Linked DNA regions of Neodiprion lecontei. The protein of the gene in region 1 binds, or shares a complex with, the protein of each later gene. Links are inferred from orthologs where the notes say so. Each region holds a gene or a part of one and is shown in the gene's direction. Other genes may lie near its edges.

What was found.
Region 2: ribosome biogenesis protein BOP1 homolog (region 1) and pescadillo homolog share a complex: the UniProt entries of both Homo sapiens proteins name them as parts of the peBoW complex. The link is inferred for Neodiprion lecontei from reciprocal best matches to the Homo sapiens genes BOP1 and PES1.

What each region holds. Positions count from the first base shown.
Region 1 is NC_060260.1:39,232,453-39,247,518, reverse strand, and holds ribosome biogenesis protein BOP1 homolog, read left to right. Parts: upstream 1-5,526; 5' UTR 5,527-5,735; coding exon 5,736-5,864; intron 5,865-6,041; coding exon 6,042-6,872; intron 6,873-6,965; coding exon 6,966-7,644; intron 7,645-7,748; coding exon 7,749-7,958; intron 7,959-8,044; coding exon 8,045-8,322; intron 8,323-8,400; coding exon 8,401-8,500; intron 8,501-8,586; coding exon 8,587-8,782; intron 8,783-8,859; coding exon 8,860-9,013; 3' UTR 9,014-9,093; downstream 9,094-15,066. Other genes in the region: glucose dehydrogenase [FAD, quinone], read right to left, coding at 1,174-1,730, 1,809-1,937, 2,207-2,453; uncharacterized protein LOC107218625, read right to left, coding at 10,297-11,830, 11,939-12,265, 12,461-12,549. UniProt on the Homo sapiens protein: Component of the PeBoW complex, which is required for maturation of 28S and 5.8S ribosomal RNAs and formation of the 60S ribosome.
Region 2 is NC_060262.1:23,167,735-23,184,477, reverse strand, and holds pescadillo homolog, read left to right. Parts: upstream 1-6,948; 5' UTR 6,949-7,085; coding exon 7,086-7,109; intron 7,110-7,221; coding exon 7,222-7,455; intron 7,456-7,557; coding exon 7,558-8,065; intron 8,066-9,772; coding exon 9,773-9,909; intron 9,910-10,005; coding exon 10,006-10,265; intron 10,266-10,807; coding exon 10,808-10,995; intron 10,996-11,063; exon of another isoform or gene 11,064-11,082; coding exon 11,083-11,270; intron 11,271-11,443; coding exon 11,444-11,707; 3' UTR 11,708-12,393; downstream 12,394-16,743. Other genes in the region: protein pelota, read left to right, coding at 106-219, 679-819, 2,212-2,434, 3,483-3,675, 3,736-3,842, 4,450-4,553. UniProt on the Homo sapiens protein: Component of the PeBoW complex, which is required for maturation of 28S and 5.8S ribosomal RNAs and formation of the 60S ribosome.

The sequences.
Region 1 (15,066 bases):
AGACCAACGTTGCGCTAATTTTTTTAATTAGTAGCCCTTCCGAAGCTTGTTATTAGTCGCCTCTTACTACAATTACACAGGCCCACAAATTAAAAAAAGTTTGTCGTGTTGTAGTCGAGACCCATCATTTTCCATTTATTTCGAACTGCTAAACACGAATCTAAAGTCGAAAGAAGGTGTCGATGGACCAATTTGGCCGTTGGGGCCAAAAAACTAGTTTTAATATTACTAAAAAAAGAGTACATGGGTAATTTTTTTTGTAAGTAACAGCCGTGTACATCTGTTTGGGGTTATCGGAGTATAATTTGGCTTTTAGCGTTATCAAGGTTTGTAGCTTTTGGAATTATCGGGGTGTTGAACTTTGGAGTTGATCGGACTTTTGGGTGATAGTGACACTTCACCGAGAGAAATTTTTAGTTCCGGTTACCGCTCAGTCCTTAATTATTTTCATTTTTTACTAGAATCGAGAAATATAGTTTTAGGTAGAAAATGAAAATGAGTTTTCTAGCTGTTACCGGAAAGTCTAGTATCCGTTACTATTCTTTCTCATTACGATCACTGTTACTATATTTTCTTGTAACTGTTGCGAAAATTTAATGCTCGTGCGACAGTGAATTGACGTTAAAGCCTTATTTAACTAAAAACGTAGAGTAGACCGAAGAAACTGATTTTGCGTTGTAATTACCAAAAAAGGATCGACAGTAGCGCAAAATGTTTACGTGTACCTCGTTTTTCGTAATTCCAACAATATTTAAACAGTTTTTTTAACGATACCTGGTTGACTGAATTTCTCTAGTCACTATAAAAAATGAAACTTTTCTCAGTGTCGGATGTGACGTATTTGTACTATGTATAGATATAGATGAACGTTGGATGAAAAAAATTAAATGTTCTCATTTTTCGAATTAATTCTTCAACAACTAGGCTCTAGTGACCGAATTAGTTCACCGACGCCCACTTTGAACTCGGATTTGTGTTCAGCAGCCCGTCATACGTAAGAGCTATAGGCTCTCAACCCCAGCATAAAATACCTTTTTTTGCGGGCCTATGTCATCAGTCCTCCGATGCTACTACGTAAGAGCAATGATACAAGCACGCGTGAATGAAGACTCACAATCGGTACTCGAATATCTGTGAGTACGATGTGTAAGGTGTAAGTAAGATGATCGTTACCTTGAAGTACTCGACGCCGACTGCCTTCCCGTCCTCGATTATTACTCTTGTGACAGTCGAGTTCAGGGAAACGTGTAGATTCTCACGGTTCCTGCTGGGCCGTAGATACGATGCGGCGCTGCTACGTCTGACTCCATTCTTACTAGTGGTTTGTGCCATTGCAAAACCACTCAACACGTCTCCGTTGAGATCTTGACTAATGCGGAATCCTGCCTCTTCTGCTGCTTTAAGCATAGCATTGGCAAAAGGAGGTTCATAGGGAAATCTCTCAACGGATAGTGGACCCCCCGTGGAGTGCCAGAATCTTCCAACTCTATCGATTTCACCGTTATCCTCCGCCTTGAGAAAGAAAGGTTTCACTTCATCCCATGTCCAGCCCTCATTACCCATAGCGGCCCAATTGTTGTAATCCGTTGGATTGCCCCTCAAATATACCATCCCGTTGTGCACCGTACATCCACCGAGAACTTTCGCCGCGGCGTACTCACAAGAACCGTTTTCTGAGAGGCAGGCGTACCTTTCGTTCGTGATTGTGTATCCCCAGCTCAAATTGGAACCTTACATGAGGCAGATATTTCATTTATTTTCGTAGCATGTTTATAAATTTAATTCATTAGTCTTTCTCTAATACGTACCAGCTATGATTACGGCCGCACCCGGAATTTGTGCGGATGCAGGTTCGTCATCACCAGCTTCGAGAAGCAATATTTTCCAGTGCGAAATCTCGCTCAGTCTCGCGGCCACCACGGAACCTGCCGCACCACCTGAAACAAGAACCAGCTTTGAACAGCACTCACCACTTTCTTGTTCAGTTCTCAGGATATTTTGGAACTTTACAATGTATCACATGCGATTTACATGATCTGCGCAGTCCAAAAAATCTCTCAACTGTTCTCGGACACCCTAGTCAATGAAGAAATCCTCTTCGCGACTACCGACGGAAATAAGTATCAGTATGAATTATCCACGCACGATTGCGATTGTTGTTTTTCAATGTTGCTAACGTTTTTGACATCCATTGCTTCATACGTACCGCCGGCTACGATGTAGTCATACTCGGGATCTGGTGTCTCGATGGGCGTCACGCGCTCGCATATTCCCGATATTTTTTCGTTCTTTCGTATGGCTGAGTCCAGAAAAGACATCAACGTACCGGATTCACCGCACATGTCTACTAAAGTGGGACCTGGTAGCTGCCTCTCGTTACATGTTTGTGCCAAAGTTAGGTGATGAGTCATCGTTACAGATAACAATAAGATAAGTTGAAAATTGATATACATCTTGAATATTAGCTGTTATTGACATCAATTATATCTTTCCCTGTCACCCCGTTTTTCTAACTATTATCAATCAACTAAAATCACAGTAAAAGTTGTAATTGAACTTTTTCTGCTAGAACTCGCTTATCTTACGAATATCCCGCAGTATTTTAAATTTCATGGATGAATTCTTCAACCGGACTGACCGTCACCCTGTCATTTTATAAGTGTCATATGACGCACTGTTATTGGTTGTGACCTATGTGACAATACAATATTGGTATTAGTGCTCTGTTTGTGCCATATCGGTGCTTATTCAGGTTTTTGTATATTTTTTCTTTTATAAACATAAATTAATGAAAATACGTCACAATTGACAAGTGGGTTTTCTAAAGTCAAATGCGCCAGCTGTGCCCTCTAACTGTTTGATGTATAATCTCAATATTGTGCACGAACGGCATATTTTCACCTGATTAAATGAACAACTACAGATTGTACAGACGCTTAGATTGATTTTGACCTTTTTGATATGCCTAGTAATTTTACGATCCGCAGTTTTGGTTGCGCACAGTTGGCACTGCCAGCCACCCCCTGATGCCAAGAGTGCGTTCCTAAATTGTCTGACAGCACTAAAAACTTCCTAGGACATAGGCTGAGCTACTAACGAACCTGGTGGCGCAAAAAAAATAAAAGATTGTTGACAGTACTGGGGACTTATATCGGAACACACCGCAAATAGCACGTGGAGAAAAGCTTGAAGACGCGCGGCTGGAAGTGTCAACGGTGCTGATACAAAACCGTGGATTCTAAACACGGAGTAGTAGGAAGGAGACAAGACTCTGCGATAAAACTTGTCCCCAGTTTTGAGGTAACGTAAGAGGAATTGTCTAAATGCGATTTGAGCGCCTTTTACGGAAAAAAGTGAAATTTTCGTTATAAAATGTAAAAAAAAAAAGGCGGCAATCGTAACCTATAAGTCTCCGTTTTATAAACATATTCCGTAAATTCGTAAAATACGCATCTGAAGTGACTAAAAAACAGTAAAAACCGAGTGATTGCTTTTCTAATCTCAACCGACATTAAATCCGAGGAAAAGGTTTGCAAACGGCGAATCGTAAGATCATATGGCGAAGGGGGTGAGTGCGCTATACGAGCTTACACCGCAATAGGCGCTTAAATCGCACCTTGACAATTCTTCTTACGTTGCCCCAAAAATTGGGCCAGCTTTTGTGCCAAGTGCTGCTCGAGTGTTGTCTCCTTCCTACTACTCCGTGGTCGTAAAATTACTAGGGATATCAAAGGGTTTAGAATCAATCTGAATCTCTGTAACTGTGAACAACGAGTTTATGCACTGAACAGAACGAAAATTGGTACAGAAGAAAAAATCACTGTTTATATAGTTTGCAGTTTCTCTCTTATGGAGTTCCTCTGAAAATTCTGTGAACTATTGATAAATTTTACCTATTTGTAATATATTTTTTAACATTCGTTGAGAATGTTTCATGTGAAATCCACTGCCTCCTCTCACCTTTATTTTTTTTATCTGAATACAATTATTTTTCATTTCAATACTACAAATCGACAGAAACATAACATCGATTTGTTGTGTCTAAAATACGAATGATACAGATACTAATTTTTCACTCTTTGAGTACATTTGAGCGTTATTAGAACAATTTACATATTCAGCGATCTTATCACCATCTCAAAATGTTAAGAACATTAATTTTGAGTTTTTTTGTACAGCTGTCAGTTGAGATATCTATACGTTCCGACAACGCATTCTTAAAACTTTGTAGAATAGCTTACATAGAACATCTGCTGAGATTATTAGAAGCTTCTGGGGAGATTCCGGGGCGCTCTAGGGAAGCTCGCGATTCGGGACATAGGCTTTACGGTGGGGAACTTCAGGGAACTTCCCATGCGCTTCTGGCTGAGCTCGCGAACAGTTAACGGAAAGCTTTTGGTGCTGTCTGGGAAGTATTTTCAGAGCGATACTGCACAAAAGTACGATACACGCGGTGTATTCCGTTACTTTTACGCAAGCGAAGCATCAAGATTCTGTCTTTTTTCATATTTGCCGGCCGCGTTGTGAAATCGAAACTCGTATCCAAATTAATGTTTCTCATGATTTTTCAGTCTATTTTTATTTCAGTGGGAAGACTCTAGCCCCAACTTCCTGGCGGGAATTTTGCCCCTTGACCCCTCTCACACCCAATTCTATGCTTCAATATCATTTTTATGTTATTGGGTTTTATGAAATAGCGTTTTTTTTTCTCTCCATAGTTCTATGTAATCTCGTGGGGCATTTTCCACCCACCGCATGAAAAACTAATGTTTACAACTCGGGCGCAGGATTTACGGCCTTATTGTAAACAGCTCTAATTACCTGCCGAAGATTTTCACGAGAAATATATTAGTAGCCTGTCGAGCGGTAGACGTTTTAAAGTACATCCAATTTAACACATTTCAATTATTATATTGTATAACAGAAACAATATACATTGTAAGAATAAATTAAGATTGGATATCCTTGTTACGTCCCCCAGACTTCATATTCCTTTCCCACACTCTTAGTTACCTTACGCTCTGTAGTCTACTCTTATCGTCCGCGAGTCAGCAGATTCTTCTGTAACTCGCGGCTAGCTTGCCTCCTACATCCCGCAAAACAAGGCAGATCCATCCTAGCGCTCAAGCAAGACACCTATCCCTCTAAACCAAGACCATACCTTTTTCCCTCGACCGACTCCGTTGCATTGACTACTAATAAACAATCATATACTTATAATCGTTTACCTTCCCTTAATACCGATCCCTTTCTATTCCATTCGCTTCCTGCATTGGGAGTAGTAGCACGCGAGTGCATAGTCGATGTGAACGGACCCTATAATAGCCAAAGAACACCTTGGCTGGGCGTGGAGTAAGCTCCGATTACCGCTCATCGGAGCCTACGCATTCTACCCCGTAACATCATCCTTGTTTGATTCCGCAAAACTCTGCAGAGATTGATTCAGAAATTTTAACAATTTCTCAGAAGTTGAAAAAATTAGTAGCATACTTATGAAACTCTCTAAAGTGAGAGCAGAGATGAGTAGGGTGAGAGCTTAAACTTTAGCGTGCTTTAAAGTATCTGCATCCGTGCGTCTGCTGGTTTGAAATGTAAATCGAGATATCGATTGCGGAAAGTTTGCGTATCGCAAGTCGAACTATCGAAGTGCAAAAGCCAAACACGTGTCCTACCTAACCTCAAAAAACAACGCGGTTGTCCAAAGCGGCTGTCTTCCAACTTGCCACTGCCTAGTGATGGGTGCCCCGAAAAAGGCAGGTAAGCGAAAGCAGGACCCAATCATTCCGAACAAATCAAATAAAGAAGAAGAAAGGGTAGAGAATGTCGAAGAACTTGAAGACGATGACGACTTGGACGAGAATTCGGTAAGACAGATAATCGAATCATTTAAATATGTATTAAACATCCTAGGTTAGGTTGAGTTGGGTCAGCTTTGAGCTTCAATAAAAAATTGAAGCAGTAATCGTAACGCAAAAATCTATTGTCATCACTGGTTCTCTTTGGCAATTTATTGTACACTACATAACACTCCGTGTATCCAGGATTTAGGATCGGAGGATTTTCTAGCCACCGATCAACTCGACGAGGACGATGACAGCACAGACGACGAAGTCGAAGGAAATAATGATGTTGTCGATTCTGATACTGAGAATGATCCAATTGTTTTTGGCTCTGATAACGATGATGAGGAACTAGAATTTGAATCTGACTCTGAAGAGTACGAGAAGGATGATGATTCTGTGAATGAAGAAGAGGAGGACGAAGAAGATTCGGAAGCAGAGAGTGACGGGTCTGTCAATTCCAAAGACAAATTCAGTTCAGAATCTGGAAACGAGCAGTCAGAGGAAGAAGTTCGGCAGCCTAAAACAAATAACAAATCTTTGGTAAAGTCTAATAAGGAAAGCAATGGAAGTAACAAGCCAGCTAGAAATGTGAATAAAAAAGTGGTAAAACTAAGCGATCATAGTGAGAAAAATTTGGATTATGGTGTAAAACAGAATAAATCAAGTATTGTGAATAGTGGTCGCAATACAAGCGACCCAGCAGTTGAAAAACTGACTAGTAATGTCGACGAATATGAACAAGACAGTTCGGATGAAGAAGATATTCGAAATACCATTGGGAATATCCCCTTGCAATGGTACAACGAGTATCCTCACATCGGGTACGACTGGGACGGTAAAAAAATTTTAAAACCAGAGAAAGGAGATCAGCTGGATAACTTTTTGAAGAGAATGGAGGATCCAGATTTTTGGAGAACTGTGAAAGACCCCATGACGGGACAAGATGTAGTACTCAGCGAAGCTGACATAGAGCTCATAACAAGAATCCAGAAGCAAAAGATACCTGATGCTCAATTTGACGAGTACACAGTAAGTTATTTGTTCCTTACCAGATTCTATTTAATACTTTCAACATATCTCTGAAATTTGTTTTGAAACTTTATTTTCCCATTACTTTTACAGCCTTGGGTCGAGTGGTTCACGTCCGAAGTGATGAAAACGCCATTGCGTAAATTTCCGGAGCACAAACGATCATTCTTGCCTTCAAAGTCGGAAGCAAAGAAAGTTTCCAAGCTAGTTCATGCTCTGAAAATGGGTTGGATAAAGTCAACAGTCGAAATGGAGAAGGAAAAACAGAAGAACAAGGAAAACAAAGATTTTTACATGCTGTGGCAGTCAGACGATCAGGCTGAGGAGATGCGGAGGATTCACAAGCACATACCGGCGCCAAAGAGGCATTTGCCTGGTCACGCAGAGAGCTATAATCCTCCGCCAGAGTATCTCTTTGACAAAAAAGAAATGAAGGAATGGAATAAGCTGAAGTCCACGCCATGGAAAAGGAAGCTTCACTTCATTCCACAGAAGTTTAATTCACTTCGTGAAGTCCCGGCTTATTCAAGATATATCAAAGAGCGGTTTCAGAGATGTTTGGACTTGTATCTTTGTCCAAGGGCTTTGAAAATGAGGCTTACCATTGACCCAGCCAGCTTGGTTCCACAGCTACCTAGTCCTCAAGATTTACAACCATTTCCCACTACTATGTCAATGGTCTTTAAGGGGCACACTGACATGATAAGATCCTTCACTGCCGAAGCTAAAGGCCAGTATATCGCTTCTGGCGGAGATGATATGACGCTTAAAAGTGAGTTGTTTTGTCGAAACTTTTTCATTGTAGGTCGATTGTAATTAAAGATTAAGGAAAAAAATTAAAACTGCGAATTAATGAATGAGTGAACATGTTTTCAGTATGGGAAATTGCAACTGGTAGATGTGTGAAGACCGTTCCTTGTGGAGGCATTATAAGAAGTGTTGCATGGTGTCCAAATCAAGCAATTTCGCTGATAGCCGTTGCTGCAGATCAGAAAGTTTTGTTAATCAACCCTGGAGTAGGGGACCACTTAATCACAAGCAAAACGGACCAGCTTCTAGAAATCATACCTCAAAGCGATGTAATAGGTAATAAATTTGTTAGCATATGTGACTGTAACTGAATCCAGGAAACTACTTTCCAATGTACTAAATTCTTTTTACTTGTATTTCAGTGAATGAGAGGGTAAGGACGGCAGTTCAGTGGGAACAGGCCGAAGGTGAAAATTGGCGAAATGGTATCAGAGTAATATTGAATCACTTTAAAGTTGTGAAGCAGGTGACTTGGCATGCGAGGGGTGACTATCTAGCCACCGTTATGCCCGATGGGCAGAACAGATCTGTTCTAATAAATCAGTTGTCAAAGAGGCGTTCGCAATTGCCATTCAGCAAGTCCAAGGGACTAGTACAATGTGTTTTGTTCCATCCCATTAGACCATTTTTATTTGTCGCGGTAAGTTGCCACATTGATCTTTCTGCTCGTGATTGTTTGAGTCACTTTTCCAATTAAGTAATTTAAACAAATTTTCAGACACAACGGAATGTTAGAATATACGACTTGGTTAAGCAGGAGATGGTCAAGAAACTGCTGTCTAATTCTATGTGGATATCAACAATGGCAATACATCCTGGTAATCAACACAGTTTCATATTTTTCTCCGCAACTTTGTGAAATTCGTCGTTGGTTCTTCTCCTAATAAATTGCTCGTGTGTTCAGGTGGCGACAACATCTTAGTAGGCACATATGATAGAAAGATGCTCTGGTTCGATCTGGATTTGAGCACAAAGCCCTATCAAACTTTGCGATTGCATGGAACAGCCGTGCGTGGTGTAGCCTTTCACAAGCGTTATCCACTATTTGCCTCTGGAGCTGATGACAAAGGTCTGATTGTATCACACGGAATGGTGTACAAGTAAGTAAATCGGTATTATGTTTTTATTAAGCCACAGGAAACAACTTCTTATTCTTTTTTTTTTTTGTTCCTTACAGCGACCTTCTTCAAAACCCACTGATTGTGCCGCTAAAAAGACTGTGCAATCATGAGACTTACAATGATTTTGGTATTCTTGATGTCATGTTTCATCCAATACAACCTTGGCTATTTTCGGCTGGTGCAGATGCAACTATTCGTTTATACACGTAGTTTAATTATGGGTATGACATACAAGTTGTTTCAATTTCTGGCCGTATCGTTATGTTCTAATAAACATATTTTACTACATTTATCTACTGATTGCATTTTTTTAGACCTCGACCGTTTACCCAAATTTCCATGATGTATGTTTGATGCTATGAATTCCTAGAAATTTAAGTGGAACGGAATGAATGGATCGGTAACTGTATTTATTTATTATAACTTGTATCATTGTAAAATGTTATTTATTTCTGAAGCCATTTGTTTGGCGCATCGTTAAAAACGGATTAACGTTTTCTACAAAAGCTTGATATTGCTATATTAAACTGTTATGGATCATCTGAGATTATTTTTAGAAGTGCATTAATCATATATTCATTACGAAAAACATTTTTACCACTTTTTCCGATATTACAACATGTGCATTATTACTAAACTTTAAGATTACCTTATCTACTGATTAAGTAGTTACAAAAGAATAACGTGCAAACACATTAAAGTAAACCTATAGGAACTTTTGGCTCGTAATTAATTGCAGAAATTACTTCATAGTTGCCTGAATAATATAATAGGTAATATACGTATATATCCCAGGGTTTCATATATAAACTAAAATTATAAAGGTAAGAGGTTACACTTAAAAAAAATCTGTAATCGAACCATTCTACATGGTAGAATTTGACTGAAAATTCATACAATATCACCTCGAACTACCGAACGAGTACTTTAACGTAAACTTTGATGAAATACAAAAACGTAATATTAAAATTCAGTCCCCTGTATGTAAGTAATAACATAGAAGGAAAATATTTTTCATATTTTCCTGGTAACACATAATTAAACAACATATAATCTATTGATACAAAATTCAGGTTTCCTAATATATTTGGGACTTGTTCATGCATGCAAAGTAGAATTTGATCTACGACTGCAATTTTAAGCATATTCATTTCTTCATCACACATATCATCGGGTATATCCGGAAATGTCCATATCCGATTCATTGTAGCATACTTCTTTCGAGACCAAAACATATAGCATTAATTCAAACTGATATTTGATTAATTTCTTTTATTATAATGGACAGCTATGAATGTTACGGTATGTTCTGTTACTGTGTATTTTCTTTTTGAAATTCTAGTACAACAAGTACAATAATTTTCAAATTGGACTACATTGCCTGCATAGAGCGATACATTCACTAGTCAACATTAGCAGGGCTTGTTTATACATGGCTAAAACTAAAGAGCAGTATATACGTTACAAACTCTGCATCATAAATATAAAAGCTATTACGTAAGGGGGGAATGCCCTAAGCACTGCCACTCTGGCTCTCCACATTCACACATCCTACCCGCATGACGAATTTGAAAAACTGTAACAATATGTCTGTTATCGTCAAATCTACAGCTGATATGTAATTCGTGAATTAAAAATGTGTAGAACTGATTGGCCCAACGTTGCCTCAAGTAAACTGACCTAGGATCTTGACATAAAACATTTTCTATAGCATGTTTCTGCTGGTCCGCTTTGTCTCCTAGAATTTCGTTCAACTGTACCAAAGCTCGTTCATTAAATGTTACAGTTAACGCCGAAACACGCGATCTCGATATCCAATCTGGTATCCTTACATTAGAAGAATTTTCTTCCTGCCCCAAGTTCATGTGACCTCTACTTTCAATTCTAATGTTCTGACCATTCCCAGCATTCTGAGAAACTGCGGATCCAGCCATTCCTTGTATATTTGACAAAGTTTGCGACGTAAAACCTTCTTCGCCATCAGGCGCTTCTCTAATACCCATTCGAATTGGAGAATTATCAAGCCTCGAATTTGCTGCACGCAGGTCAATTAAATCTAAGTCAGTACTTATTCCGTCGGCACCGTCTAATAGCCTAGTATTTCGCGATATTTGATCAATGGGATTGTTGACCTCAGCATTTCTCGAATTGAAGGACATTGTTCTATTAGCTTGAGGATTCAGGTCGATATGTTGTATATTAAACACTGTATTCTCATTGTGCAATTCCAAAGTTCTGGGGACGATTCCACCATTTCTGGAATTATGTGTGGAATTTTGCATAGAATCTACAGTACTTTGTAAAGAAATTTCTGGACTCAATAATTCTCGTTCGTCAAATGAACCCAGGTCCGTATTTAGCCCGTTAGACATCTCGCTGTTCCCATCCAAGTTGCTGGTACCAAGTGTGACGCTTCTATTATTATCAAATCCTGTGACAATATCTAAATTCCTATCCACTGGTCGGTAACAGTTTCTAGCTTCTAAGTAGTTACCGAATTCCGAATGTCCATCAAACTCTTCCGCCTGTAGTCTGAGTGCGATTTCCTCATCTCTAGAAATATCTGTGCCGTGCGCTGCACCATCAGTACTACCATAATGAGGTTCGTGTAACATAGTTCTAAAGCCATTGCTCGTTTCAGATGCAACAAGATTTTGCCCGCTCAATCGTTCACTTGAATCCAAGTTTAGATTTGTCCTTTCCTCAATATTTCCTCGCGATTCCCTATCAAGAATACCACTTCTCTCCAATTCCCTACTGCTGTACTTTTCAACGTACAACGGGTTGTCGTACTGCGGTATGTAAGGTTTGATGTCCAACACTGGTGTTTGATCCACCATATCTACGCCCTCGAAGAAAATAGTGCAATTCACTATTTTTATGATTTTAACAAGGCTCAGGCCTATCGGACAAGGTCGGTGCGGTGATCTGGTCGAAAATACTCCGGTTCGTATTCCGTTTAGTCTGGGTGGCGCTACTTTAGCACGTACATGAGTTGACTCGTTCCTATGGAAGTGGAAGAGTATCCTAAAGAGAAAAATCACAGAAATTATGAAACACGCATAAGAAAAAAACCGTTAATTTTTTTTAATAAATTGAAAACTGTTAGCACAGTAATGTTTCACCAATCCTTACCACATGTGTGAGAAGTCTTGAAGGCCATCTAAGGCATGTTCAGGATTGGTAAAGACAGAATTAAAAAGTGTTAATTTCCCTGGTGCCTTATCACATATTCCAGGTTGTCGTGGCGTCCCTCGTTTGTTGGGAAACCAGGTTGACACGACTCCAATGGGCTTCAACTTGAGACCTTCATCTACTTCGTTGCTCGTGCTTGGCAAGGGTGTTTTCGAAATGTCTGGTTTTGACATGAACGACTTTTTCTCTGCTGTTCGCGATCCTACGAGGCGTTTGATGCCCTCGACGTCTTTATCATGGACGTAACGGAGATTACGTATCTGTTGCCTGAAATATTACGAAACCAATTCGGATTTTCAGTTCTATCAGAAATTCATTGACTTGTTATTTGCGTAAGTCGCTGTCGGCGAGTTTCTTGGTTATGTTATGTCACACACGTCATGAGCCAAAATGTGCAGCTCTCGGCCGTACGCGTTCGATTGTAAATAGAACGGGAAAGCGCAGCGAGGGAATAATTCCTACCTTAAATTGTTTATCTCTTTTCTCGCCGTATTCAACTGCGCCAGCAAGCATTTTGCATCGAAATCGGAATTTTGACATTTTCCTTCCATGATCGGAGTCTGAGATGGTCGGGAAGACAGCGAACAGCTGTTCTCAGTCTCAAACGATAAGGCTGGATTTTCATGGGTGTTATATGTCGCGACTGCAACTTGACGCGACAGCGCTACGCCGTCGGCTAGAAAAGGCGCTCATGAAAATAGGTACCGACGGAACGGCAAAATGCCGCGCGTCGCAACCCACGTACTTAGGTCAATGGATGCCGATTACATTTTTATTCGAAGAAATGAAAAATCTAGGAAGTGTGGAGAAATGGAGAAAATGAAGAAGCAGGATAAAGTAAACGATGGCGTATTCGGACTGCGTGCGATGGATTGCTCGCACAAATTTACGTCAATATACAGTATAGAGAAATAGATTTCGACATTTTTCAAACTAGTCCTGATTTCAACGAAATATCCAAAGGGGTTGGCCTCACTTTTTTTAAACCACCAAAATCTTTTGTCTCAGAATCGATTCTTGTGACCTTTTCCCGACGAATTGGATCCCCAGGAACTCAGAAAATGCAGCAAATAGAGCGTAGGACCAACAGCAGAGTAATTGCGATGGAAAGAGCACCAGCTGAAAAATATCGAAAATTCAGGTTCTGGTTTTTTGGCTGTAACTTTTGACCCGCTGCTCGCAGCGTATTCCGACTGCGCCCAATCGATTTTTCTTGCAAAATTACGTCGACATAGGGTGCCAAAGAATTGATTCCAGCACTTTTCAAAATCGGGAAAATTTTCGCCAAAAACACAAAGGGGTTAGCCTTCCTTTTTTTTTGGGCAAAAAACTTTTGGTCTCAGATTCGATTTGTATGACGCTTTTATGACTAATTGGACCGGCAGGAACTCAGAAAACGCAGCAAAAAGAGCGTAGGACCAACAGCACAGAAATTACGATGGAAAGAGCACCAGCTGAAAAATGTCGAAAATTCAGGTTCTGGTTTTTTGGCTGTAACTTTTGACCCGCTGCTCGCAGCGTATTCCGACTGCGCCCAATCGATTTTTCTTGCAAAATTACGTCGACATAGGGTGCCAAAGAATTGATTCCAGCACTTTTCAAAATCGGGAAAATTTTCGCCAAAAACACAAAGGGGTTAGCCTTCCTTTTTTTTTGGGCAAAAAACTTTTGGTCTCAGATTGGATTTGTGTGACGCTTTTATGACTAATTGGACCACCAGGAACTCAGAAAACGCAGCAAAAAGAGCGTAGGATCAACAGCACAGAAATTACGATGGAAAGAGCACCAGCTGAAAAATGTCGAAAATTCGGGTTCTGGTTTTTTGGCTGTAACTTTTGACCCGCTGCTCGCAGCGTGTTCCTACTGCGCCCAATCGATTTTTCTTGCAAAATTACGTCGATATAGGGCGCCGAAGAATTGATTCCAGCACTTTTCAAAATCGGGAAAATTTTCGCCAAAAACACAAAGGGGTTAGCCTTCCTTTTTTTTTGGGCAAAAAACTTTTGGTCTCAGATTGGATTTGTGTGACGCTTTTATGACTAATTGGACCACCAGGAACTCAGAAAACGCAGCAAAAAGAGCGTAGGATCAACAGCACAGAAATTACGATGGAAAGAGCACCAGCTGAAAAATGTCGAAAATTCGGGTTCTGGTTTTTTGGCTGTAACTTTTGACCCGCTGCTCGCAGCGTGTTCCTACTGCGCCCAATCGATTTTTCTTGCAAAATTACGTCGATATAGGGCGCCGAAGAATTGATTCCAGCACTTTTCAAAATCGGGAAAATTTTCGCCAAAAACACAAAGGGGTTAGCCTTCCTTTTTTTTTGGGCAAAAAACTTTTGGTCTCAGATTCGATTTGTATGACGCTTTTATGACTAATTGGACCGGCAGGAACTCAGAAAACGCAGCAAAAAGAGCGTAGGACCAACAGCACAGAAATTACGATGGAAAGAGCACCAGCTGAAAAATGTCGAAAATTCAGGTTCTGGTTTTTTGGCTGTAACTTTTGACCCGCTGCTCGCAGCGTATTCCGACTGCGCCCAATCGATTTTTCTTGCAAAATTACGTCGATATAGGGCGCCAAAGAATTGATTCCAGCACTTTTCAAAATCGCGAAAATTTTAGCCAAAAACACAAAGGGGTTAGCCTTTCTTTTTTTTTGGGCAAAAAACTTTTGGTCTCAGATTGGATTTGTATGACGCTTTTATGACTAATTGGACCACCAGGAACTCAGAAAACGTAGCAAAAAGAGCGTAGGACCAACAGCACAGAAATTACGATGGAAAGAGCACCAGCTGAAAAATGTCGAAAATTCAGGTTGTGGTTTTTTGGCTGTAACTTTTGACCCGCTGCTCGCAGCGTATTCCGACTGCGCCCAATCGATTTTTCTTGCAAAATTACGTCGATATAGGGCGCCAAAGAATTGATTCCAGCACTTTTCAAAATCGCGAAAATTTTAGCCAAAAACACAAAGGGGTTAGCCTTTCTTTTTTTTTGGGCAAAAAACTTTTGGTCTCAGATTGGATTTGTATGACGCTTTTATGACTAATTGGACCACCAGGAACTCAG
Region 2 (16,743 bases), on another chromosome or scaffold:
TGTGTACAAAAAATTATGTTTTGCGTAATATCTCTGATGCAAACATGTCATAAATCAAAGGCATGTAAATGGAGTAAAACAAATTTTTCTAACTTTTGGATGTAGATGGGTGCTTATCACACGCTGGATCTGGAGCAGAATAGAAAATTCACACTTTACAAGCCTGAGTGGGATTCCATTTCCTTGGAACGAGTAGACACGGCTTGCGACCCTACTCAGGTAACTTATGACAGAATCAATATAAAATATTGATTTTCATTAAAAGTCTGTTGATTGATATGGTACCCCCATTCTGAATATTATGAATGCATGATATTGTCATGAAATTTGTTTCAACTTGAACAGAACATAAAAATTAAATAAACTAGCTATAAATATGTTATGTTTGGAATTGTCAAAATTAGACGCACAACTGATATAGTTCATAATTAGCAACAAATTATAAAAATAAATTAAGTCATGAAAATTACTTACTTCTGAATCGAAGAGTTCTTATTTTTTTCAAAGCTGCTTTAGTAGAGTTTCAATTCAACCCGTACAAAAACGTTTAAGAATATACATAACTTCAACAGAGGCTAAATCCTTTCTTAATACTTGAAAAAATAAATCTTTTCTCTAAGGATGAGCTCTCAGATAAGCTGTTTGCTTTTTGAAAAATGAGTTACTGAATATTTTCAGAGTGCTGATTTAGCTGCTGTTATAATGCAAGATGGAATAGCTCATGTTTGCCTTATTACCTCTAACATGACTTTGGTTAGAGCTAAAATAGATCAAAATATACCAAGAAAAAGAAAAGGGAACGTATCACAGCATGAAAAGGTTTGTTATCACTCTTTATGGACAGCAGTAGAGTACGTGTGAGTCTATGTATACAATGTATAGGGGCAGTCCATGCCATTTCGACCTGAGTCTGAACCTTGACTTCCAGATTTGAAATGCACTCAGTTTTTTTATAGATTTTTTCGACACGGTTTGAATTTTCTACAATTTTTCAAAACCATGCCTTGATTAACACAATGTAAAAAACTGAAAAATCGTGTGTCAGATAACAAAATGTTGCAGCTCAGAGCAGATTTTTTTTCTCTTTATTTTGCTAATAACAAAATCTCAACTGGTAAAATGGCTCATAAAAACCTGCAAAATTTTTCAAAAATCTGAAAATGTTTCAGTAACCATCCATAATAAAATGACGTCTAATTTTTCCAACATTTTTTTTTCGAAAAAAGCTTGAAAACAGTAGGAAGAAAAAATCTCCCCACTAAGCTTAATTTTTACGCCCTAAACTTAAAAATTTTGATTTCTAACACACACGAATTTTCCGAATTTTTTCAAATTTTTAAATTGTGTCCATCAATAACATGGTTTTGAAAAATTGTAGAAAATTAAAACCGTATCAAAAGATCTAAAAAAAAATATTGAGTGCATTCAAAATCTGAGAGGTCCAGGTTCAGACCTAGGTTGAAATGATATGGACTGCCCCATATACTTGTAGTGGGAAAGGTGGTTGCGATTTTTGCCAAGCTGGTGTCTCTTATAGTTTTGATTACTATGGGTATGGTGATATCGGTAACGTAAAAGCATGGTGAAATGTATATTGAGAGAATAATATGTAAAATAAAACATGCTGACACAGGATATGGCATTTCATAGAGTAACATTACAGAACATTGTTTTCCGAAAGAGCAAAAAACAAGACTGGCAGGGACAACTATTATTTAATGAGAATACTTAAATTCGGTGATTTGCTCACAGCACAATATCCAGTGCTGATCTCTGTTGTAATCAAAGCTATAAAGATGTCCTTGACACTCTGCTTTTCGTGACGCCATCCTCATTGTATGCAAAATTTTGTATAAATAATTTAGAGTACCAAGAGTAACGGTTTATTGAGATCCAAAGTTTTAACTTTCTTTACCAAAAAAATGTCTAGTCCGCTTACAAAAAAATTGGAAAGTTATATGTTTTAAAAGATTTCTGAAAAGTGTGTCATTTTTTCGCTTGATATTACATTTAACAAATTCTCTATTCAAAAATTGATCGACCAAAATAAATTTTTCGTCTAGCGTAAATGAGGTTGACGTTTTCATGAGTTGAAGAATCACTCATTGAAGTAATGAGACATCAACTTTTGTTCAACAGTAGTAGCAATTATCCTTACTTTGCATTAAAATATGATATTTCGCTTAACTTTTTTCATCATTGGAATTCCAGGGTTTGGCTCGCTTTTATGAAAGCGTCATGCAGGCAATCCTACGACATATCAATTTCGATGTAGTCAAGTGTATTCTCTTGGCCAGTCCTGGTTTTGTTAAAAATCAATTCATGGAGTTTATGATTCAAGAAGCAGTGAGAACAGATAATAAAGTGATTCTAGACAATAAGGCCAAGTTCATGCTTGTACATGCTAGTTCTGGCTTCAAGCACTCACTGAGAGGTACCACATGCCAAATCAAATTGTATTCATGTGTATTTAACATTAAAACTGCCAAGATTGGCACACCTCCTTCAACAACTAAAACAATCTTTAGAATTGATCCCCACACAGTGGACTTCCTATTAATAGTATGCCTGGTATTTGAAGATGGAATATTTCACAACCACATTTAAATTGCTCGCAGTACTAAAAAATTTTTGTTTCAAAACACGAAGAAAAAGAAAAGGAATTGTTTATTTATGATGTAAACAGTATATCTGTATTCAATTGATTATACAAAATGTAACTTTCACGTATACATCGACTACAAAAGAAAGAAGTGCGTAAATATGAATCTTATGTGAAATATACAAATGGGAACTATCTTAAGAAGCGTCGAAATTGAATACGTAAAGATGAATGTAATGATTGCTGAAAAACGCTACCGTGGAACATATTATCGATGATTTTTCATTGTCATCTCCAACACAAGTTTGCAAACTTCGTATAGTAAAACGTCCTGTAGATCCTTTTCTGTATAATATTATTTTACATTTTTTTTGTGTCGTAACATGTAACGGCAAGATTGTTTCTATTGCGCAAAAGTGATATTTCAAAAGTAAATCTAGGTGGAACTTTGAGGTTGTTCAAGAAATACTACTCACACTCTGTAATAATGAATTTACCAGAAAAATTACTGAATCTGTTGTTATAATTAAAATAGTTGGAAGTATAAAAAAAAATAAATACAATGAGCTAGTTTCCATAAATGTCCAGTGTTCTTGCAAAATATTTCGGACAGTTTGATATTGAAGACAAAGTCCGAAATAATTCACAGTTCAGTCAAAAAGTGTTAGGAATGAGATGTGTGACAAAAAGAGGAAGTTTGGGACCTGAAAATATTAAGCATGATTGCCTTGGCAGTTTCAGTGTTAAATCATTATATCTTAATTGATTATTTTTCACTTTTCATCTAAACAAACTTTTCAGGCGGCACCCCAATGGAAATTGGCAAATTATTTTTTCGTGCAATACCCTAGTGTTTATATTAATGTTAAACTGTTGACAGAGGTGCTGGCAGACCCAGCAGTCGTAAGTCGAGTAGCTGACACAAAAGCGGCTGGTGAAGTGAGAGCATTACAGGCTTTTTATACGCTGTTACAAACAGAACCAGCCAGAGCATTTTATGGGAAGAGACATGTGGAAAAAGCTAACGAGGCTCAGGCTATTGAGACTTTATTAATTTCGGACAAATTGTTCAGGTAATTGCTGAAGCAGAATGAACTTTCGTTTCAAGAATAATAATTTCATCTTCTCCACAGATGTCAAGATATTGTGACGCGGAAACAATATGTCAACCTCGTGGACAGTGTCAGGGAGTTCGGTGGTGATGTCAAAATTTTTTCCAGCATGCATGTATCTGGTGAACGTGAGTATGATCCGTAAATACAATGTGTAATGTAACGCCCAAATCAAATTACAGTACTACCTTGACATAAGAGTCCTTGTCATAAGAGAATTTCCCCGTCGTTACACTTGAGCAAGTCTTATAGCTTCCCCCACTCTCCCTGTATACCTGACGTCTAATAACGCGGTGTGCTCCTTATAAGCGAACGAGCGATTGCGTTGAATCATATGTGTTTAGACATCAAATTTGTAAATATAACTGTGATTCACTTAGAACGAGAAGTGGTGATGATCATCGACACGCTGACACATAAGTGATTCCCGAGGTCTCCTGGCAGTAATGGGGGAAAGTACCAACGCCGAATTTCGTGGAATCCCATTCCCTTAACCGCCCTAACACTCTTATAACAAGGCAGTACTGTATTTATTTCGTTAAGTTAGTATTATATTTGTTTATTAACCTATGGATACGAGAGCCACCATTTTATTTCATCAAAGACTTACATTTACATTTTATCATCACTCGTATCAGTAGTTTTATTTTTATTACACTAAGCCATTGACTATCGTTTAAGTTTTTTTCTCCCTTTTTTTAGTGAATATTTCACATTATGTTGAACTCATTCCAGAATTAGATCAACTGACAGGAGTGGCTGCTTTGTTGCGGTTTCCAATAACCGAATTAGAAGATGAAAGTGAAGACAGCGAATCAGAAAACGAAGACGAGAAATAATTATATTTAAAAGTATGATTGACAAAACATATTCACATAGGTTATTAATTAAGAAATTGTAAACAATAAAAATTATTTAATAATTTTCGTTCGTGAAGTACGCGAAATGACTAAATCAACGTTGTAGCGAATAAAAGATTTAATACATATTCATTTAATTGATAAATAATTTATATAATATCGGTAACCACAATGGGAAATGTACATATCTGAAGACTTGATTGATCAAGCTCGATTAAAAGCTCAAATAGTCAATAATACCAAGGTCTTGTAAAAACGATTACAGGTCAGCGCACCCCTTGACTTTAGCTAATTTACTGAAATTAATTCACCTCTCAAGCATGGATATCGGAAATTATGTCCATGCTCTTACGATCTTATTATCAGAACTCAGTATAAGTGAGAACTTGTGTTTTCTATCATGCTCAGTCGATTAAAACTTTGGGTATTCATAATGAACATAATGATGGACCTGATCTGTTCAGATTCGGTAATTTTTTTTTTATTTAAAAAAAAATTACATATTTCAAGAGGATGTGGTGCAAATTGTAAGACGTGACAATAAAATTTGATAAAAATAATCCTGACAAATTAACGGGTGTAAAAACTGAACAAAATTGAGGGATGATTGAGATTGAAGAATCAGGAAAACAATCGTAAAGTGAATCAAAAATCGTGAGGTAAAATCATTGGTCGAGTTGACAATGGAAAGCTCTGTATGTATATGAATTTAAAAAAAAGTAATACAAATAGTACAGCACCTACAGCACTGATTTTCTGTCTAGAGGCTGGTAAAATGGCCTGACAGCAGGTAGGAGTTATTTAGGGATTTTTAGGGGGAACCAGAGAACGCCTAGGAGGAAGTCACATGGGCCATTTGCATGGAAAGTGTTTAGTTCCCATGTGTATGTACTTCCCACAAACGATTTTGAATGGAGGTAAGACACAAGCTTCAAGATATGAAATTTGTCCACAGAGTAACTTTACTACCCTCATGGCGTGTTCCTTGTCTATCGAATTGGTCGATTACTCTGACAGGCTTCATATCAGAAAGAGGAATTAGATTACTTTTTGTCACGTAATATCAACCAAGATTGTTTGGAGAAATTCTTTGCTTTAGTCGCAGTCATGGTTGCCACAACGTGAATCCAACTTGTTGACAATTTGTTGGCACATACAAGTCCCTCCTTGTCAGTAATTTCAATTCGCATCGTTCATTGAGTGCGAACTGTGTAGACGACAAGGGAAGTATACTGCTCAATTTAGTCCACATATTGGAGGATCATAGCGATAACAACCATGACGAACCGGTAGATTGCTTAGATGATGCGCTCCACCTGCCCGATGAAAGTAATATCCAACGATAGGTCCCACAGTCCATAGTGACAAAGACTGTGTGTGATTATATAGCAGGATATGTAGCACGCAGGCTTTTGAAATTTTTGCAAGTCTGTTCAGAGTGCAAATCGACCATCCTGGCAATGGAACCTTTGCCAGATTTGCATGGAGAATTAGAAAGTAAAGTGTTTGATGAAGAGATATATGTTTTGAAGTACGTTAGCAACAATTGTTTAACTTCCTTCCAAAAATTTTATTAAATCATCCGTAGTCTGCTTCTATCGATTAGTTTTAGAAGAAATTTGTTAAAAAACCTCAAAGCAAAAGTGGATGAAAAAAATGTCTCAGGTGGCTTGGTTGCTCTGCTCATGCCTTGAAAGTAAAGAATAATTTTAAACAATTTTCCATGTCCCTAGACATCAATACATTCTGTACAGCTGTAAGTAAAATTTTAAATCATAAAGATGCAGTACTAATAAATTCTTTAGACAAGCACGGATACATCGCGAAAAACACTTCAAATCAATTTTACAGTAAAGAATACGTGTCAGTTAACAAACATTGTAAAATCTTGATAAATTCACTATCCGACTTCTTTCTCTTTGTATAAATTGTATATAATTTGTATTTCTGCATTATAATTTTATTTGTAATTTTGACTTAATTACCATTACCTGTATTTCGTTGATAACTATTGCGTTACTTGTATTTTAGATTCACTTAAGATTTTTATACTTGCACCACAAACTGACCAGAGTTTTTGCTTTCTGCTTTTAGTCCATCTTTTTAATTCAACTGTACTTTATTTGACAATAAATGAAATATTTTTAAATTCTAAGTAACTGATTAAATTTATTCAAAGCGATGATGAATACAAGTCGTTTACAAGTGGTGTCAGTTCGTCCTGAAAAAAGGATCAAACTGATCATACCACTTGTATTCTCAACCCCTATTTAAACACATTGATTCAGAGATTTGAAAACTCTGCCATTCGAAGTTTATCGTTAGTACATTGAAGCAGCGCGCAGTGTGACGCACGAATTCGGCAACAGTTTCGATACACGGGAGTCAAGCACGGGAGTAGCGAGAGATAACAAGTTGCTCGTATTGGCACGTGTGAAGTGTGTCAATACAAGAATTGGATCTTTTTTATGAGGAAATATTAACCATTGAAAACAACAGATCGTTGAGAGAATGGTCGTAATAGGAAAGAAAAAGGTAGATATATAAATCACACAAATTTAATCTCGAAAACGTACATCTTACCTCCTTTTCTAACGCTTAACATTTTTGAGGTTATTTCTCCATGCTTGTCTGATGCTTTTCACAGTACCAATCCGGTGAGGGTGCTCAGTTTTTATCACGGAGATCAGCTCTAAAGAAACTTCAGCTTTCATTGAAAGACTTTCGGAAACTATGCATATTGAAAGGAATTTATCCCCGGGAACCTCGTAACAGGAAGCGAGCCCAACATGGAGATACAAGTATTAAAACCTTATACCACAAAAAAGACATACAATTCCTCATGCACGAGCCTATAATATGGAAATTTCGAGAATTTAAGGTAAGTGAAATTATCACCCTATATACCGGGTCGCTGCATTACATGGCAAGTGTTTGAGTACTTTTTTATTTGTTTCATAATCTTGATTAATTCTTCTTACAGATATTCAACCGAAAAGTTGGCCGAGCTAAAGCAATGAAGGAATTCGGTGCTTTGAGACGGTATTTAAATAATCATCCGCAGCTGAAGCTAGATCACATTGTAAAAGAACGTTACCCAACATTCATAGATGCATTGAGAGATCTTGATGATTGTCTCACGCTATGTTTCTTGTTCAGCACATTTCCTTCTATAGCTCACGTGCCACGTGAGCACTCACTTTTATGCAGGAGATTAACCGTCGAGTTTTTGCATGCTGTTATAGCAGCTAAAGCACTTCGAAAGGTTTTCGTTTCGATCAAAGGCTTTTACTACCAAGCTGAAATCAAGGGGCAAACAATCACATGGATAGTGCCACACCACTTTTCTTTTGAACCACAGTCCAAAAATGAAGTCGACTTCAAAGTGATGTCAACGTTCGTTGAGTTTTACGTTGTTATGTTGGGTTTCGTCAACTTCAAGCTATATCATGATTTGAACATGTTTTATCCACCAAAATTCAACAGTCCAGGTAAGAATTGATAATGTAAACTAATATTTAAATAACACAAAGAAACGCATTATTTTTTATGACTGTCCTGTAACTAACAAGGAGAGGTCACTCATTAAGGAAAGTTTATTCCAATTAAACTTACCGTAACAGTGAATCAAAATTTAAGACATTAAAGTTAGTAACGTTAAAGTAATCGAATATGGGAAAATATTTTATTATTTTGCAGCCTTAGACTTGCTTTGAAGGTATTTAAGTCTACAAAACATGAGTATGTTTTGCTTCCATATGATTTAGTGAATCTCAGATACTCCTAAAATTGTGAAATACTGATTTATCATGGAAATGCATCGCCACATTAATGTTTCGAAGATCAAGCTTATTAAAATGCTGGTTCCTGCGTGACAATTCTCATACTTCTATTGTACCCATGGCGTGTTTTGAACAGTTAAACTTGTAGCACCTTTGGCCCTGTATAAAAACTATAAAACTTTCCATTGCTGCAGTTACCTTCAAACCTTTGAAATTGTTGTAGAAAAGGTACAAGTAGATCAAAATGAAACATGAATTGTGCTATGTCCACGTGTAAAGCTTAAAATCCAAATGATGAACACCAGTATAGCTTAACATTTATTGTCGTAGCACTTTCAGAATAAGAAACCATATAAATGGAATGGGAGTAAGATTCTGGGAATCGATAAAACGAGGTAAAAGCAGTGAAAGTGGCATATTTGGTAATACAGTAAAACCTCGTTTATACGTTTGCGAAGGGATATGACAATTATGATGCTTCTATGTTTGTATTAACGCACGGACAAAAATTTACTGTAGAAAGTTTAGTAGAAATGTGATAGTTTGACTTATATTAACGTATCCGTACACCGAAAGTTGTGCAAGAGTTACAATAGAAAATTGGGAAAATTTCAACAAGTATTATAACCGAAACACCAATTTTATTACACTCACTAATATGATTGCGATAGGTTTTGCTTTTATTGCTGTTTATCCTCAAACTATCGTATTTCGATTGTAGCATCTATGTGATAAAATTTATTCCATGTTTTTTTATCGATTAGAAATTCCTACAATAGGCGCATAGAATATTAAAACGCAAGTTTGTAATGAGAGATTAGTTGTAATTAATGTTCGGGTGAAGGGAAAAGAGTGCTCTATACCGGAATAAATGATACATAGGTGTGAAAAATATCAAAATGAATTACTTATGAGTGAAATTTTACATGTGGTCTGCAAGCAAAAACTACCGGGACTGAAGGAATTTAATGCACAAGTGAAATGACATACAAGTGAGAAACGTATAAACGAGGTTTCAAAGAAATGCAGGATAGTAGAATTCATAACCCTGGTGAATAAACTATTATTATATAAACAAGGTTCGTCGTTCGGTGTCTTAGTATTTTTATGTGTCCCTTAAAAGTCATGAACAATTGCTTTTATCCAACTGTTCGGTTTCATCATCTTGAGGATACTATCCATGTTAAAAAAATTATCAATAAGCATTGCAGCCAATTTGCCTGAGGGTGCTTTTATAATGTTCTCGATCTTAAAAAGTAATGGAGAATTAATTTGAGATCTTTTGTTTGAAGTACATGATAGAAAATTGTAGTTTTGCTTAGCATCATGCGCTCTTGAGCACTTCGTTTGTTATGGTGACCCATAATTCTGGCATAAGTATTTGAATTCAACGATTAATTACTGATTTTTTCAAAGGAAGTACCGATACGAAATTAGTGGATGAAGAAGTATATGTGTCTGAAAGAATTGCTGCACTGAACTCGCCATTGTCCAGTGTTAACAATGCGACTCCAGCACCAGAAGAAGAGCTGGATACGGATCAATTTCCGACAGTTCGTTTCTTTATTATACATCTGTGAAGTAAATGAATACGTACTTACACACGGACTGCAGTTATTAAATCATCTCTGATTCAAAACTTGTTTTAGGAAGCTGACCCTTCTCAACTTGAATTATCAAGAATTGAAGTAGAAAAAGTAAAGAAACTAAAAACCCTATTCAAAGGTTTAAAATTCTTTGTGAACAGAGAAGTCCCCAGAGAACCCCTTGTATTTGTATTGAGGTGTTTTGGAGGAGAAGTATCCTGGGATAAAATGCTATTCGTAGGTTCCACCTTTGATGAAAGTAATGAAAGTATTACGCATCAAATTGTGGACAGGCCAAGCATGACAAAGCAATATATCTCCAGGTAAAATTAAATAAAGTTCGTCAGAAAGATAACACGCTTATGAAAAAATAAAGTCAATAAAAGTTGTATACATACAATTTACATCTCTTATTTGATTGAGTTATTTGCCATGCATTTTGTCTAGTAAATTGTAACACTCTTGATAATGATACTGAGAAAATCAATGTTTTACAAATCCACGTTGCAATTGTCAGAGCTTTCAAAAAAAAAATATCCATACATACCATCATAAATTTTTCAATTGTTGATTATATGCTTGGGAAGATAGTTTAGAAATGTAGAAAGGTTTACATATGAATTTCAAGGTATTGATAAGTTCTTTAAAAAATTAGTGAATAGGTTTGTGAATTTGAAAACTAATTTTTTTGTACTAACTGGTGTGCATCTTGACTGCTACTTACACTGTCGCACTCCGTATGAGGTGTTAATCCGGCATTGAAAGTTTCGATATGCAGTGCAAATTACAGCTTAATAGGCGAAATTTACAGTAGAAATATATACAAAATAAAACATTCTATATACCAATGACAAAAAATTTTTAGGTACTACATTCAACCGCAATGGGTGTTTGATTCTGTAAATGCTAGACAACTTTTACCCGTCGAGAATTATTTGATGGGTAGTGTGCTTCCTCCGCATCTTTCACCATTTACAGACATGCTGCGAGATCAAACATATATCCCGCCCGAACAACGCGCTTTACTCGACCCAGAATTTAAAGTGAAAACAGGTAAATAAAATGAAAAATCAGAATTCTCTCAAGGCTCAGCGCATATCACAGTCATATATGGTACTTACTTGTAAACTTTTATCGAAGCTAAAGATGACAGCGAAGAATCGGAAGCAGAAGAGGAAGGAGATGATCAACCAGAGATAGAACAAGCGGAAACGATTCTTGAAGGTGAAAGTGCAGAGGCCACAGAGAATGATATCTCAGAGGAGGAACCTGAAATCACAGTAACAAAAACGAATGACAGCGAATCAGAGCAAGAGAGATTGAAAAAGGTAATGTGCAAAGGAGCGTATTAAAACTATTCCCGCGAATTTCTTTTCGCATTAAAATTGCAGTGATGTTTGAATGTATATCTCAGATGATGGTACTAGAAAATTTTCTGGGAAATTTCCTACAATGATAGGAAGGTAATTCTAGTGCAATACGAATATTGATTCTTTCGCAGAAAAAGGGAATGGTGGTGCAACAGGGTCAATTGACCAGGGAAAATCCATGGGAGAAGAATCGTATTGAGAAACAGGAATACCGTCTCAGGGAGAAAATGATAAAAAAGAAACATAGGAATTTGTACAAGAGTATGATGCAAGGAAAAGAGGACAGAGCAAAAGAGATTTGGCTACTTAGGAAAAAACGACGCATCCACGATTCTACAGAAAAAGAGAAACGTAAACAGATGCGAAAAGAGGGGAAAATTAAAAATACGGCATGAATTCGATCGGAAATATCCATACGTCTTATTGTGAAGAGAAAACGGCAATAACTACAATTATCCAAATTAGCTATTATAGTGTTACCGGAATTTAATTACATGTTCACACTTAAACTCGAACTGTATGCAGTTGTTTCATGTGTTTACATATACGTATGTGTATCGTGTGTTTAGTACATAACGATACGATATATGTATGTAATGCTTCATGATAGCTAAAATAAAGATTTTTATGAATTGCACTGTAATGATGAGAAGATTAGATCTGTCACGTGAAGCGAATCAGCCATCCCTCAAATACTTTTATGATGTTGATTCTACTTGAGGAGTTGGACTTTGCTGCGAAAGAATTGGTAAAATAATATGGATGTAATTCTATCGTAATAATAAAAGGTAAATTAATAGAGTTGCAATTTATCAGGCGTTAGAAAATTGGTGCTCGATTTTTTTAAATACGTAAACGAAATAAAAACTTTGTTGCTAATATTGCTTTTGGGCGAATACTATTCTGTTCATTATACAGTAATTTTCATTAATGCTTTGGGATTTCGGCTAACTTATTTTCCGTCCGAAAAAAAATGCAGGCTCGATTCTACACGAATTGTGTGACAATGATTCCCAATCTCTCACTTTGGCTGCATCGCCGGTCATTGTCACATAACCGAGCACGCATTTTGTTTTGGACCGAAAACAAATTAGCCGGCAGCCCAAGGCATTAATGAATATTACTGTACACAGATGATACAATAAATTTGCAAAATACAGACTGAATTCAAAATAGCGAGTTCTTCATTCGTTTGTTTAAGAATTCTTTTATAACACATGGATTTAGACGCTTGAGAAATCTACACGTATTAGTTCGGTATTCAGAGTCTTACCAATTAATTTCAAAGACCCGTTTTGCTCCGCATTAAGAAGGGTCTATATTAATTACAGGATAACCCAAATTTCAGTGGCACCTTCGTTGCTTCTCAAATCAAACTTTCCTTTACAGGTATTGGAAAAATAGCGGGCGGATGGGGGATATTCGACTCGAGTGATTATCACACTAGTATTCGTACGATGCAACATTCGTATTCGCGTGAACGTAGCACTCGCCTTCGGCTCACGCTGCAAACTTCACACTTGTCAGAAATAGCACACTTTTCAATAAGTGTGAAGTTTGCAGCATGAGCCGTCAAGGCAGCCTGAGTAATGAATATATTCAAACAACTTTACAGTTCGCACTTACTTATAATTCTCCAAAAATGCTATGAAATCGCATATTTTATTCCAATGAATTGCGTATTTACGATTCTCATACATTACATAAATTATGTAATTATATAGAAGCCTCAATTTTTTATATTTATTAGGAAGTTGAATATTTTCAGCGTGATTCGGAAAAAAATTCGGCTACATACTCCTGAAATGGAAAATACTGTAAGGGATATTCAGAGAAATTCGGAAACGCTAGCAGTACGATTCAGCAGAATTTTATGAATTGCGAATATCGATAGCATTAGTCAATTCAAATTTCACGGGTTCACCCTTCAAGTCACACTAAGCGCAGAACTGAATCCAATTATAATTGAAAGGTCCGAATTTGGGTCTTTACAATAAGTCGATCTTCACTGGTCTTTTCCTACTCTTACAAATTTAGAATTTTTTCATTTTATCATCTGGAAAATCATGTGATCGTTTCAATTCAATTTGATTCACAATATCCTATTTTATGATAACATTTCACTGGACATAAAAATTCCAGGACCACTATGAGAGTATTCGCTGTGAGAAGTATTAATATGTCACAAGTAAGACTTTAATTAATCTCTTGTAAACGAGTGCAATATTACTAATAACTTTTTTCCGCTCCTTTTTTGCACGCGGTTTGCTTATACCTATATATGCGTTCAAGGATATCTTATTTTAGTTCTCCGAGAACCGTGCTTTGGAGACAAACGATATTCATCGGTTTTCACAATCCTACACATAATATAGCATTTGATTCACATTCCAGGAATGTTGTGTAGGTATAATTGTTTCTTCCTCATAATATTTCAAACGTAATATTGCCCGAACGTTTGAGGAAAATAGTGAATGCGACATTCCTATTTGATTACTATAATTGAGTGGGCGATCAAAATGAGATAAACACACTTTTTCATTTAACCAAACGCTTTGCGTGGTTCAAATTTTTATTAGAAGTAGAGAATCTGGTCTCTATCATATGGCCAAAGTTTCAAATTTTTCCCATTGCTGTATTTGAAATGATTTTCATAATCATATTAGATGTATCATATGAATTTATCCCTTTCTGATCATCCATTTATATTTCATTCGAAATTGAAATGCCAAACAGTAGCGGTATCAAAGAGTCGGGCATACCGAATTTTTGATCATTCAATTAATATTCGTAATCGGCGACCTCGAAATCCCACCGGGTACCAAATTTCGTCCAAACGAAATCACTAATTGCGAATTCTTCCGCTATGTGGATTCGCCATTTTGATCTCCCAAATTTTCAACCAGATTCGAGATCAGCGACCTTAACACCGTGATTTTTAAATTACAAAAAATGTGTCGGAACACCCTGTATTTTCTGATGTATTTAAAACTACAGTGTGAGCGGCTTTCCGCGGAGTCTGTAACGATAATAACGTGCCAAAGCGTTGTACGGTCATACTTTCACGTGGGCCAGGCGCGTGGGACGTCTGACCTTCCAACTCCTTCGGGGGAAATGCTGGAAGCGTAAAAGCAAAAGCAAGATCGGGCAGAGACCCGGGGTCGTACGACTTTGGAGCGTGGGTTTCCGGTGGGAGAACTGGAAATATATCCACATCGAATATCACAAATAAGCGAAGAGCCGTTGCGCCATTTTTGCGCTGCTTCAGGATATTCGAAGTTGTAGTCATTTTTATGAAAGCTGTGGGAAAGAAAAGAGACAATTGTATGAGACATACTAATTGAGCTACATCTTTCAAGATTTTTTGGTAGTGGCAAATATATAAAATCTAATTCTTTGTCTCAATATTTCAAAAGTTTAAGTTGTCCCATTTTTACGACCAACGAATCGCGCAAGTTACAAGACCATTGCGTAGTTGTTTTGACATCCGATTTGATACGAACACTTTCCTTAAAAGTAATAACGACCAAATCATACACGCAATGCGAATAGATAAGACAACTAATGTTTCAAAAATAATTAATTATTCACGTATTTACTCAAAATTGCGTATAATATTATTAAGAGGAAAAATGATAATGAAAATTATTGAATTAAATCTATAGATTATATGCATTTAGATCATTTTCATATACCAATGACATATTAATCACGTGTTTCTTTAATTAAGAAACCTCCTGTCTTGAGAGTGTCTGACCCAGTTAAGAATGAAAAGTGGATGACGATTGCAACTGTATGTCAGAGCATCGATGCTTTATTGATTTTTCATGTGAACTGTTTTTTGCTATTAGATTGAAAGCATCATTGAATGATTCATTCGAATCTCTGGCTTTATGACTCATATTCTTACGTTTGGTTATCCTGGTGAGTGGTGTAATATCTATACCTTATCAGCTATTTCAAATGCTTCTGAATGAAATATAACAGTGGATCTCTGCTTCCCATTTCTTGTACATCCGTTTTGTAAACTGATACAAAAGCATTTCTATTTCAACAATAAATAAATTAATTATTTCGAACGTGAAGATTAAAAATTTATTCGAATCTATATGTTTTCTTAGATTCTTACAATGAGTTTTCAGAATATGTAAGCACACAATATTATTCTGAAAAACCTGTTTCACAATTTTTTATTACGCCTACGGGTAACATCAGACAGAAAGTACTTTCGACGAACTGTAATAAACCGGTACGACTTAGCTGTAGCTACAATTTCAGAATATTTTCTAATATTCTGGTGTTATTTTTGTTATTAAAAATAGTGTTTTTAATTAAAATCAAATAGTACAAACCGTTAGAGTTCAGCAGAAAACGAGATTATAGAACGTCTAAGATATTCAGAAAGTTCCATACACACTGCTGTTTATATCATTCAGGAAAAACTTTTCAAAAAATTTGTGACATCTTATTATATGAGACTTGAAATAATCCTTGGAGTTGATACAGTGAAAACATGGTTCGAAATTTGTTTTTTCTCAATATTTTCACAGTGATAATTTTAAGGGGTTACATATACATGGCTAGGTCAAACTAATCGATTTAAAAAGATGCTCAATTGAAATTACTGTCCTTTGAGTATCTACCCTGGATATTTTACAAAGAAATTCGCAGTAACGACGAAATTGGAGCGTTTTGTAATCGACCGGGTGAATGGCGACAAGGGTATCAAAAGAAGGAAGATTGAGGTTGACACAGCTTGGAAAAGATCTAATGAAAGTGTCGACATTTCAGGAAGATCCGTAATATGACTCAGAAATCGACGATTTCATGTAAATCTAAATTGAACCAGTTATTTGATTCTCAGTGTAAACTGTGGTCAAAAATTTAGAAGCATTTTTCTCGAAACAGTGTTTTCAAAATCGGTACCAGAAATATCTCCGCGACTACTGCACCGATCGGGATCTAGTTTTGCACAGTTTTGGGTCAAACAATAATGTAGTACTTGTCGAGCCGTTTTGTCGATACCTGGCATAATTTTTTGTTTCGTCGTAAGTACTGAACAATTTCTTTGGTTTTCTTAACCCGATTGACCATATTATGAGTGATTTTTAGTTATTTTTTCTATGGCATGGTCCGTTGAATGGCATCAACTCCAAATTTCTTCTTGTCTTTATCTCATTTTGCAATTTTCACATGGAATTATGAGTATGAATTTTTCTTTTATAAACGGAGCAATAGGTGACGATTTAAACAGACGGTTACATATTTTAGTAATTTTGGAGATCAAAGAAGACTTTTCATGCCCCTTGCCGGCAAACTGTTTTTTACCTGATTTATACTTTATACAGTCACTAAAAACAATTAGTAGCTCAGAATGAGTCGATTGACAAGGTCAAATGCATTACGCAGAAATACCGAGTATCCCGAACCG